Linked DNA regions of Callithrix jacchus. The protein of the gene in region 2 interacts with the protein of the main gene of each other region in a pairwise test. Links are inferred from orthologs where the notes say so. Each region holds a gene or a part of one and is shown on either strand. Other genes may lie near its edges.

Evidence for each region.
Region 1: the proteins of DAXX (region 2) and PRMT1 interact in a two-hybrid assay, tested with the Homo sapiens proteins (2 studies listed by BioGRID and IntAct). The link is inferred for Callithrix jacchus from reciprocal best matches to the Homo sapiens genes DAXX and PRMT1.

The regions. Positions count from the first base shown.
Region 1 is NC_133523.1:43,444,149-43,447,893, reverse strand, and holds the start of PRMT1 (protein arginine N-methyltransferase 1), read right to left. Parts: upstream 2,420-3,745; 5' UTR 2,376-2,419; coding exon 2,340-2,375; intron 2,241-2,339; exon of another isoform or gene 2,059-2,240; intron 101-2,058; coding exon 47-100; intron 1-46. UniProt on the Homo sapiens protein: Arginine methyltransferase that methylates (mono and asymmetric dimethylation) the guanidino nitrogens of arginyl residues present in proteins such as ESR1, histone H2, H3 and H4, FMR1, ILF3, HNRNPA1, HNRNPD, NFATC2IP, SUPT5H, TAF15, EWS, HABP4, SERBP1, RBM15, FOXO1, CHTOP, MAP3K5/ASK1, MICU1 and NPRL2.
Region 2 is NC_133505.1:41,563,408-41,567,152, reverse strand, and holds the start of DAXX (death domain-associated protein 6), read left to right. Parts: upstream 1-1,346; 5' UTR 1,347-1,439; intron 1,440-2,318; exon of another isoform or gene 2,319-2,321; 5' UTR 2,322-2,370; coding exon 2,371-2,577; intron 2,578-2,726; coding exon 2,727-3,558; intron 3,559-3,703; coding exon 3,704-3,745. UniProt on the Homo sapiens protein: Transcription corepressor known to repress transcriptional potential of several sumoylated transcription factors. Down-regulates basal and activated transcription.

The sequences.
Region 1 (3,745 bases), on a different chromosome or scaffold from region 2:
GATGTGGAGGTCAGGGTGGGGAGGGGTCTCACAAAAGGATATTTACTTCTTCAAGAGGCGGCTGGAGGCTCATCCCATTAGCCAAGGTGGCTACAAAATTCTAGGAGAGAGTAACAGGGAAAAAGGATTAGCTACCAGGAGTGGCTGCAGGGGGCTGGGCGGCGGGACCTGGGCTCTGGCAGGAGGTGGGGTGGGTGGGTTTCCAGCAATTCTTCTTCTTTGTGGGGAGTGGTGGCAAAGGGGGCAAGTAATGAGGTGGGGTGCTTAAGAAGGGATGGGAAAAGTGAGGGGAGAGAAAAGAAAGGGGGTCTCCGACCCCAGCTGTGGCTGGAGAGATGGTGGCCCGCCCCCACGTTGCTCCTCTCTGGCCAGGCAGCTGACCACACACCTCCCCCATCCAGGCCAGGGAAATTGGCACTGGCCACCGCCAGCTGTCGCTCCCCCTCATCACATAATCTCCCCCAGATTAGGTGACACTTCCTGACACACACACCCCTATCCTAGGGTGCCATGAATAGCAGGAGGGAGGGGGGCTGGCAGGCTATGCCCACAGGGCATCTGCCACCTCTGCAAACCAGTCTCTTGTCTGAGAGGATTCCAGAAAAGAGGTTTGGCCCACAGGCACTCCCCCAGAGCTAGTACCCCAGTCCCCAGCTCCTGCCTTGGGCTCAGGAGCCCCCAAACAAAACCAGCGGGAACCAACCCCCTCCCTTACAACCCTCTGCCCTGGAAGATGGAGTCCCAGGGATGATGGGCAGCCCCTGGACTCTCTAAGAATGAGAGGACTCCAGAAAGTGGCTTGGGGAGTCAGCCCATCGCCTCCATTCAGACACCCATCCTAGGCCCTGAAGACCCCTAGGTGCGGCCAAGCCTGAGGCCACCCCTGGGGAAGATATTTCCTCCACCCTTAGAGCCCTGGTGCAGGAGACCGCCAAGGGGGTGGGAAGTCATAGCAGTGACCCCTGGGAACTGCATCCTGAGAGCTGACCTGCCCCTCCAGCCAGTGCCATAGGTAAGGGGTGGAAGAACAGAGGTCCCATCAGATTACATCTCTTCCAGATGTGACCACTTTCCAAGTCTCCAAGAAGGGCCACATCACAGGCCATGACCTACTAGGCTGCAAGCACCCTCCCCCCAGCTCTCCCAAGCCAGCGCGGATGCCTATAAGAAGTGCTGGGGGGTTTTCCCGCGGGGGCCCATTTCTCAATCACGCTGAAAACTACCTCAAGACAATTCCAGCCCAAGAGGGCTTGAAACGCAAGACGGAAACCTCCCCCACATGGCTGAAAGAGAACCCAACCTAACTCGAAACCCTTTCAGGCAGCCAGCCTCAGGACCCCGGGGTTCAGGACCCCCTGGGGGGGGGGTCATCTCCCGCCCTCACAAAGGCCCGGGGGAGATAAAGGGCTCCAGGAGAGGATAAAGCTCTCAGCCTACGTATTTCCCACCACCACTCATTCCCAGCGGATATACCCTCCTCCCTCCCCCGCCCGGAAGAAATCCGACGGTAGGTGGGCTTCGGGACACGCCCCATGAAAAAGATGTTCCTCCCACACACCCAGAAATGGCCACAAGGGGGTGCACGGCACCTATTAATGGGAAAATCTCCACCTAGATGCCCCACAACCACCCAGAGGGAGGTCACAGGGGCATGCCCCATCCCCCAACTCCTAAAGCTCTGGGCTAGGGGGAGAATTCTGAGATGGGAAACGGGGTCGGGGGGACCCCATTCTTTTGTCTTCCTCCAGTGCCTAACCCAGAACGCACAAAACCGGGGCCGCTGTCCCAACAGATGTCCCCGGAGCTCGGAAGGAGGTTGTAAAGGGCTGAGAAGCACTGCCCTTCCCCAGAGACTCCCTACATCTTGGTGGGCCCCAGATCAATCCCACCCCAAGGCGTGTGCCCGCGTCTCCGGGGAGGAGAGCTGGTGGCCTCAGACGGAGGGTCGGGCCCCCTCCCCGCCCCCCCGGGCGCCCCTCCCCGGCCGGGGGCGGGGCCTTTGTCCCGCACGTGGAGCCCGCCAGGCCACCGGACTCGGCACACCCCCTCCCCACCCACCGCGCCGAGGCCACGTGGGGGCCTGGCCGGAAGCGCCCCCAGCCCCCCTCCACGTGGGAGGGGGGATGAGACCCTCCGCTAGGCCGGATGCCGAAGGCCCTTGAAAGCTAGGGAACCGCAACTTAAAACGATATCCCCGGATGCGGAGCGTGCGGTGACCCCGTGTGCGGCGGGCGACCTCTAACCTCCTGTCGCCGACTTAGAGCCCTTTCCCCACCACAGAGCTGTGAAACACCGACCCAAAGCCGCCCCCCTCTCAAGGCGGCGCTTCAAGCGCTCACCTCCATGATGCAGTTCGCGGCCTCGGCTGCCGCCATCTTCACCCGCACCTAATCCTCCTCCGGCCGCCAAGACCCCCCCTTTCTCCTCACTCCCCCGGGACCGTCTTATACCAGAAGGTCTAGGGCCCGCCTACCGCGACCCCGCCGGAAGATTTCATTGGTAAAGGAGGCAGCCCGTCTGAGAATACCGTCTAGTTATTGGGTAGAGAAGACGTCGATCATAGGTCAGGGGTTTGCCAACTCTGGCGCCCAGAGTCCCGCCCCCTCAAGTCGACCTGGGATGGGGAAAACTGCCCGTCTATTGCAAAAAGCGCGACTGGTGATTGGGCAAAGTCTACATAAATGCCCGCCCCTTTACCCCAGCACCGCCTCAAAGCTTCCCGGCGAGCCCCGCGCTAAAGGGGCGTCTCGAAATGCCTGTCCATCACCAAAACGACCCGCCTCCTCATCGCTCCCATTGATTTATCCTAACATGACGTCACGCAGCCCTTGGCCCACCCTCGCCAAGCGGCCGGCTTCAAGGAGAACACGACGATTGGCCCAAGGGTAGTGAAGGAGGCGGGGTTTCAGGCACCACCGATTGGCTCAAAGGAACTCCCACTCCTCGAACACTCGGTGGATTTTCCCAGGCCGGGGAGGGTCTGGAGGAAAAAGGGGGCTTGTGCCCATTCTGGGGGGAAAAAAACTGAATCAGTGAGAGGAAGGGCCTGTCTGGGGTCCCTAAGCAAGTGAGGAATAGGTGTCCGCCTCAACACATTAAATCCTTATATCCTAGCCTTTGACATAATCATTCCAAGTTTGTTTTTTGTTTTTGTTTTTCTTTTCTTTTTTTTTTTTTGAGACAGAGTTTCGCTCTTGTTACCCAGGCTGGAGTGCAATGGCGCGATCTCGGCTCACTGCAACCTCCGCCTCCTGGGTTCAGGCAATTCTGCTTCAGCCTCCCGAGTAGCTGGGATTACAGGCACGCACCACCATGCCCAGCTAATTTTTTATATTTTTAGTAGAGACGGGGTTTCACCATGTTGACCAGGATGGTCTCGATCTCTTGACCTCGTGATCCACCCGCCTCGGCCTCCCAAAGTGCTGGGATTACAGGCTTGAGCCACCGCGCCCGGTCCTGTTTTTCGTTTTTTTGTGATGGAGTCTTGCTCTGTATCTCAGGCTGGAATGCAGTGGTGCGATCTCGGCTCACTGCTGTCTCCGCCTCCCAGGTTGGTTGAAACGATTCTCCTGCCTTAGCCTCCCGAGTAGCTGGGACTACAGGCGCGTGCCACCACACCCACCTAATTTTTGTATTTTCAGTAGAGACCGGGTTTCATTGTGTTGGCCAGGCTTGTCTTGAACTCCTGACCTCACGATCCACCCGCCTCAGCCTCCCAAAGTGCTGGGATTACAGGCCTGAGCCA
Region 2 (3,745 bases):
AGGTGTTTCCTTACGAAGACCAATTTTGGGAAAGTTGAGGTTCTGGAAATTAAATCCCTTACATGTCCCAAGTCCCAGTCCCCTCCGAGAGTTTTATGTTCCCATTTTGAAAGCTGTAGACTTTGACAACGGGAGAGAAGTGATGTGGGATTGTTTAATGAACGGTGTTTGCCATTCCGGGACTCAGCGTTAGGGATCTAAGGACCTCTGTGGCCCCAGTTAAGTGGCAAGATGTTGTGAAAGTGGGAATCTCAACGATTGGGACCCTGTTAACATTTCTGGTTTCCTCATAAGCTCACCTCTGGAAACAGCCTTGCCTCCACGACACCCTACAGTCTCCCTAAACTCAACGAGGTGAGTATCAGTTTGTTTCTTCATCCTTTATTCTTTTTTCAGCTCTCCCAGAAGAGGAGGCGGAGACCCAAGGTATTTTCGTCTCACAGACTCTCCTCCAAGTCCCACCCCATCATTGCCTATCCACAGACCCTGCGGGGGGGCCTCCACGACAAAGCACGGCCTCCTGGTCAGCACAAACGGCCCCTCGAGGACCCCCTCCGGAGAAGCAGAACCATTCGAGTCCCACCAGTTTGGTTGGCCATTAGTTCTGTGGTGAAGCTTGAAAAGCAAATCAACAACAGTAGCAATAATAATAATAACAACACTTTTGCATGGCGCGTTGTGCTCATTTGTATGCATGTGTTATAACAATCGGGAGACGCAGACCCTGGCAGTGGAAGCAACTGCTGGACAGCGGCAAGGAGCGCGCCGCCTAGCGGGGAAAGGGGAAGGAGCAGCCGAATAAGCCTTGGAAATGGGAATCTGGGAATCTGGGGGACAGGAAAGCAGGGCCAGAAGGCTTGCCAACAGCCCAGCTGAAATAAAAAGGTTTTACTTCCCTTTTAAGAGACTTCTGCCCTTCCATGAAATCCTGCGCAGCTTTGGAAAGCCCAATTCCTTATCCACCCTGTACGGTTCCCCTGCCCCTGCTCGAAAAGGAGGCTCGGTCCTCCCTACATGCTACTCGCCAGCGATTAGGCCCCAAGCAGGAAGTTTCTGATTGGCAGAGTCGTAGAAGCACCGGGTGAAAAGAGCTCCACTGGCTGCGCACCGGAGTCCGGGTTTAGCCAGCGCCGTACGGCAAAATGGCGGCCCCCAGCTGCTTTGGGAAGCTTGGGTTGGGGGAGACAAACTCCGATCTGAAAGAGAGCGCTATGTGGGCGGCACTGAAAGTGTTCACGGGGCGGGCCTACGGCCACTTCCGTCCACAGAAAGACTGGGTTCCGTACGACAATATGGCGGCGCTTAGTTGCCTGTAGGCGGAAACTCTGTGACTTCCGGTCCGTAGTGGGGCCTGCGGTGGGAGGGGGAAGGAAGGCGGAGGGAACCATGCGAGGTTCTGAGATCAGCCGCGAGGGTCGCCTCGAGAGACCGTTTCTGAGGTGGGGGCCGGCCGGTGCGGGGACCAGAGGCAGGGGCGGGGATATCGGGGGAGGGGTATGGGGGAGAGCCAGGCATTGGGTCTGAGGTGAAAGCTGTGATACCTTCCTATCCCTGAAAGGGAGTGGGGCGGCCGGGGGTTGAACTGGGGGAGGGGGATTTGGCGGGAAGCGCGTCTACTGGACCTGCTCGACCCAGGGTTGGGATCTAAGAGGAATCGGGAGAACGCAGCGCGGAGGCTGGGGGGTACTTTTGATCAGGTCACAGAGAGAATGGGGAAAATTAGGGTGGGGTGAGAGGGAGGGGACTTGGAGTAAAATATCTTCAACCTGAAGCCCCAGTTTGAGGAGACTCATCAGAGGGTGAAATATGGAGCCAGTTCAAGGAGGGGAAAAGAGAACGGACTGTTGGGAGGGAACCTCTTTTGCCTCAGAGAGTCTAGAAGTTGGGGTGATCATTCAGGATGGGGTGGGTGTGGGGTTGACATGTTTGAGGACAGACGTGGCAAATACATAAGGTGGCGCCCATAAGAGTGTGTTATCTGTACAAGGGGGTGTCAGGACGATTTGGGGTGCAGTGTGGGAGGAAGACTCAACTTGCCAACTCTGAGAAATAGTGGAGAGACGAAACTGAAAGACCGGAAATCGACGTGAGGGGTGGAGCAGAAGGTGGCAACTTATGGTGTGGGGGTGGTTTGCCCTCCCCACACCACTTGAAGAGCCCGAAAAGCATATAGAACTAATGGTTATTGAAATCAGGTGGTGAAGATAGTTTTGGTCAGGGATGGATGTTACTGAAACCCAAGGAGTTAGGAAAATGTGTGAGGTGAAGGGATGGGGCAATGCTGGAGGGGATCATTCTGAGGCCCCATCCCCTTCCAGCAGGAATTCTGAAATCCCCACCACTTCCTCCGTCTGGGGGATTTGATCCCCCATGGCCACCGCTAACAGCATCATTGTGCTGGATGATGATGACGAAGATGAAGCAGCTGCTCAGCCAGGGCCCTCCCACCCACTCCCCAGTTCGGCCTCGCCTGAGGCAGAAGCCCCTAGCTCCTCTGAGCCTCATGGGGCCAGAGGACGCAGTAGTTCGGGAGGCAAGAAATGCTACAAGTTGGAGAATGAGAAGCTGTTCAAAGAGGTGAGCTTTAGTGGGAAGATTTTTGTACCCCAGGGAGGGGGATGGCTGACTGGCTCTCCTGTCCTTTCTTCCCCACTAACCCCACCACCCCTTTCTCTCAACCCTTCCCTTGTCTCTCTTCCCTTCCCTTCTTCCCCTGAACCTTCCAGTTCCTTGAACTTTGTAAGATGCAGACAGCAGACCACCCTGAGGTGGTCCCATTCCTCTATAGCCGGCAGCAACGTGCCCACTCTCTGTTTTTGGCCTCGGCGGAGTTCTGCAACATCCTCTCTCGGGTCCTATCTCGGGCCCAGAGCCGGCCAGCTAAGCTCTATGTCTACATTAATGAGCTCTGCACTGTTCTCAAGGCCCACTCAGCCAAAAAGAAGCTGAACTTGGCCCCTGCTCTCACCACCTCCAATGAGCCGTCTGGGAATAACTCTCCCACACACCTCTCCTTGGACCCCACAAATGCTGAAAACACTGCCTCTGAGGCCCCAAGGACCCGTGGTTCCCGGCGGCAGATCCAGCGCTTGGAGCAGCTGCTGGCACTCTATGTGGCAGAGATCCGGCGGCTGCAGGAAAAGGAGTTAGATCTCTCGGAATTGGACGACCCAGACTCCACATACCTGCAGGAGGCACGCTTGAAGCGTAAGCTGATCCGCCTCTTTGGGCGACTATGTGAGCTGAAAGACTGCTCTTCACTGACGGGCCGTGTCATAGAGCAGCGCATCCCCTACCGTGGTACCCGCTACCCAGAGGTTAACAGGCGCATTGAGCGGCTCATCAACAAGCCAGGGCCTGATACCTTCCCTGACTATGGAGATGTGCTTCGGGCAGTGGAGAAGGCAGCTGCTCGCCACAGCCTTGGCCTCCCCCGACAGCAACTCCAGCTCATGGCTCAGGATGCCTTCCGAGATGTGGGCATCAGGTTACAGGAACGACGGCACCTCGATCTCATCTACAACTTTGGCTGCCACCTCACAGATGACTATAGGCCAGGTAGGGGGTTAGTGGGATACCTGTCAGTGACCTTTATATTGTCAGGTATGAGGCGGATGGGGCATCTCTCTAGTCCTTTCTAGGGTTTGTACTCTTCTAGGCCCTTCAAGGGCTGAGTGCTCTGACTTTATGTCTTCCCATGTAGGCATTGACCCTGCGCTGTCAGATCCTGTGTTGGCCCGGCGCC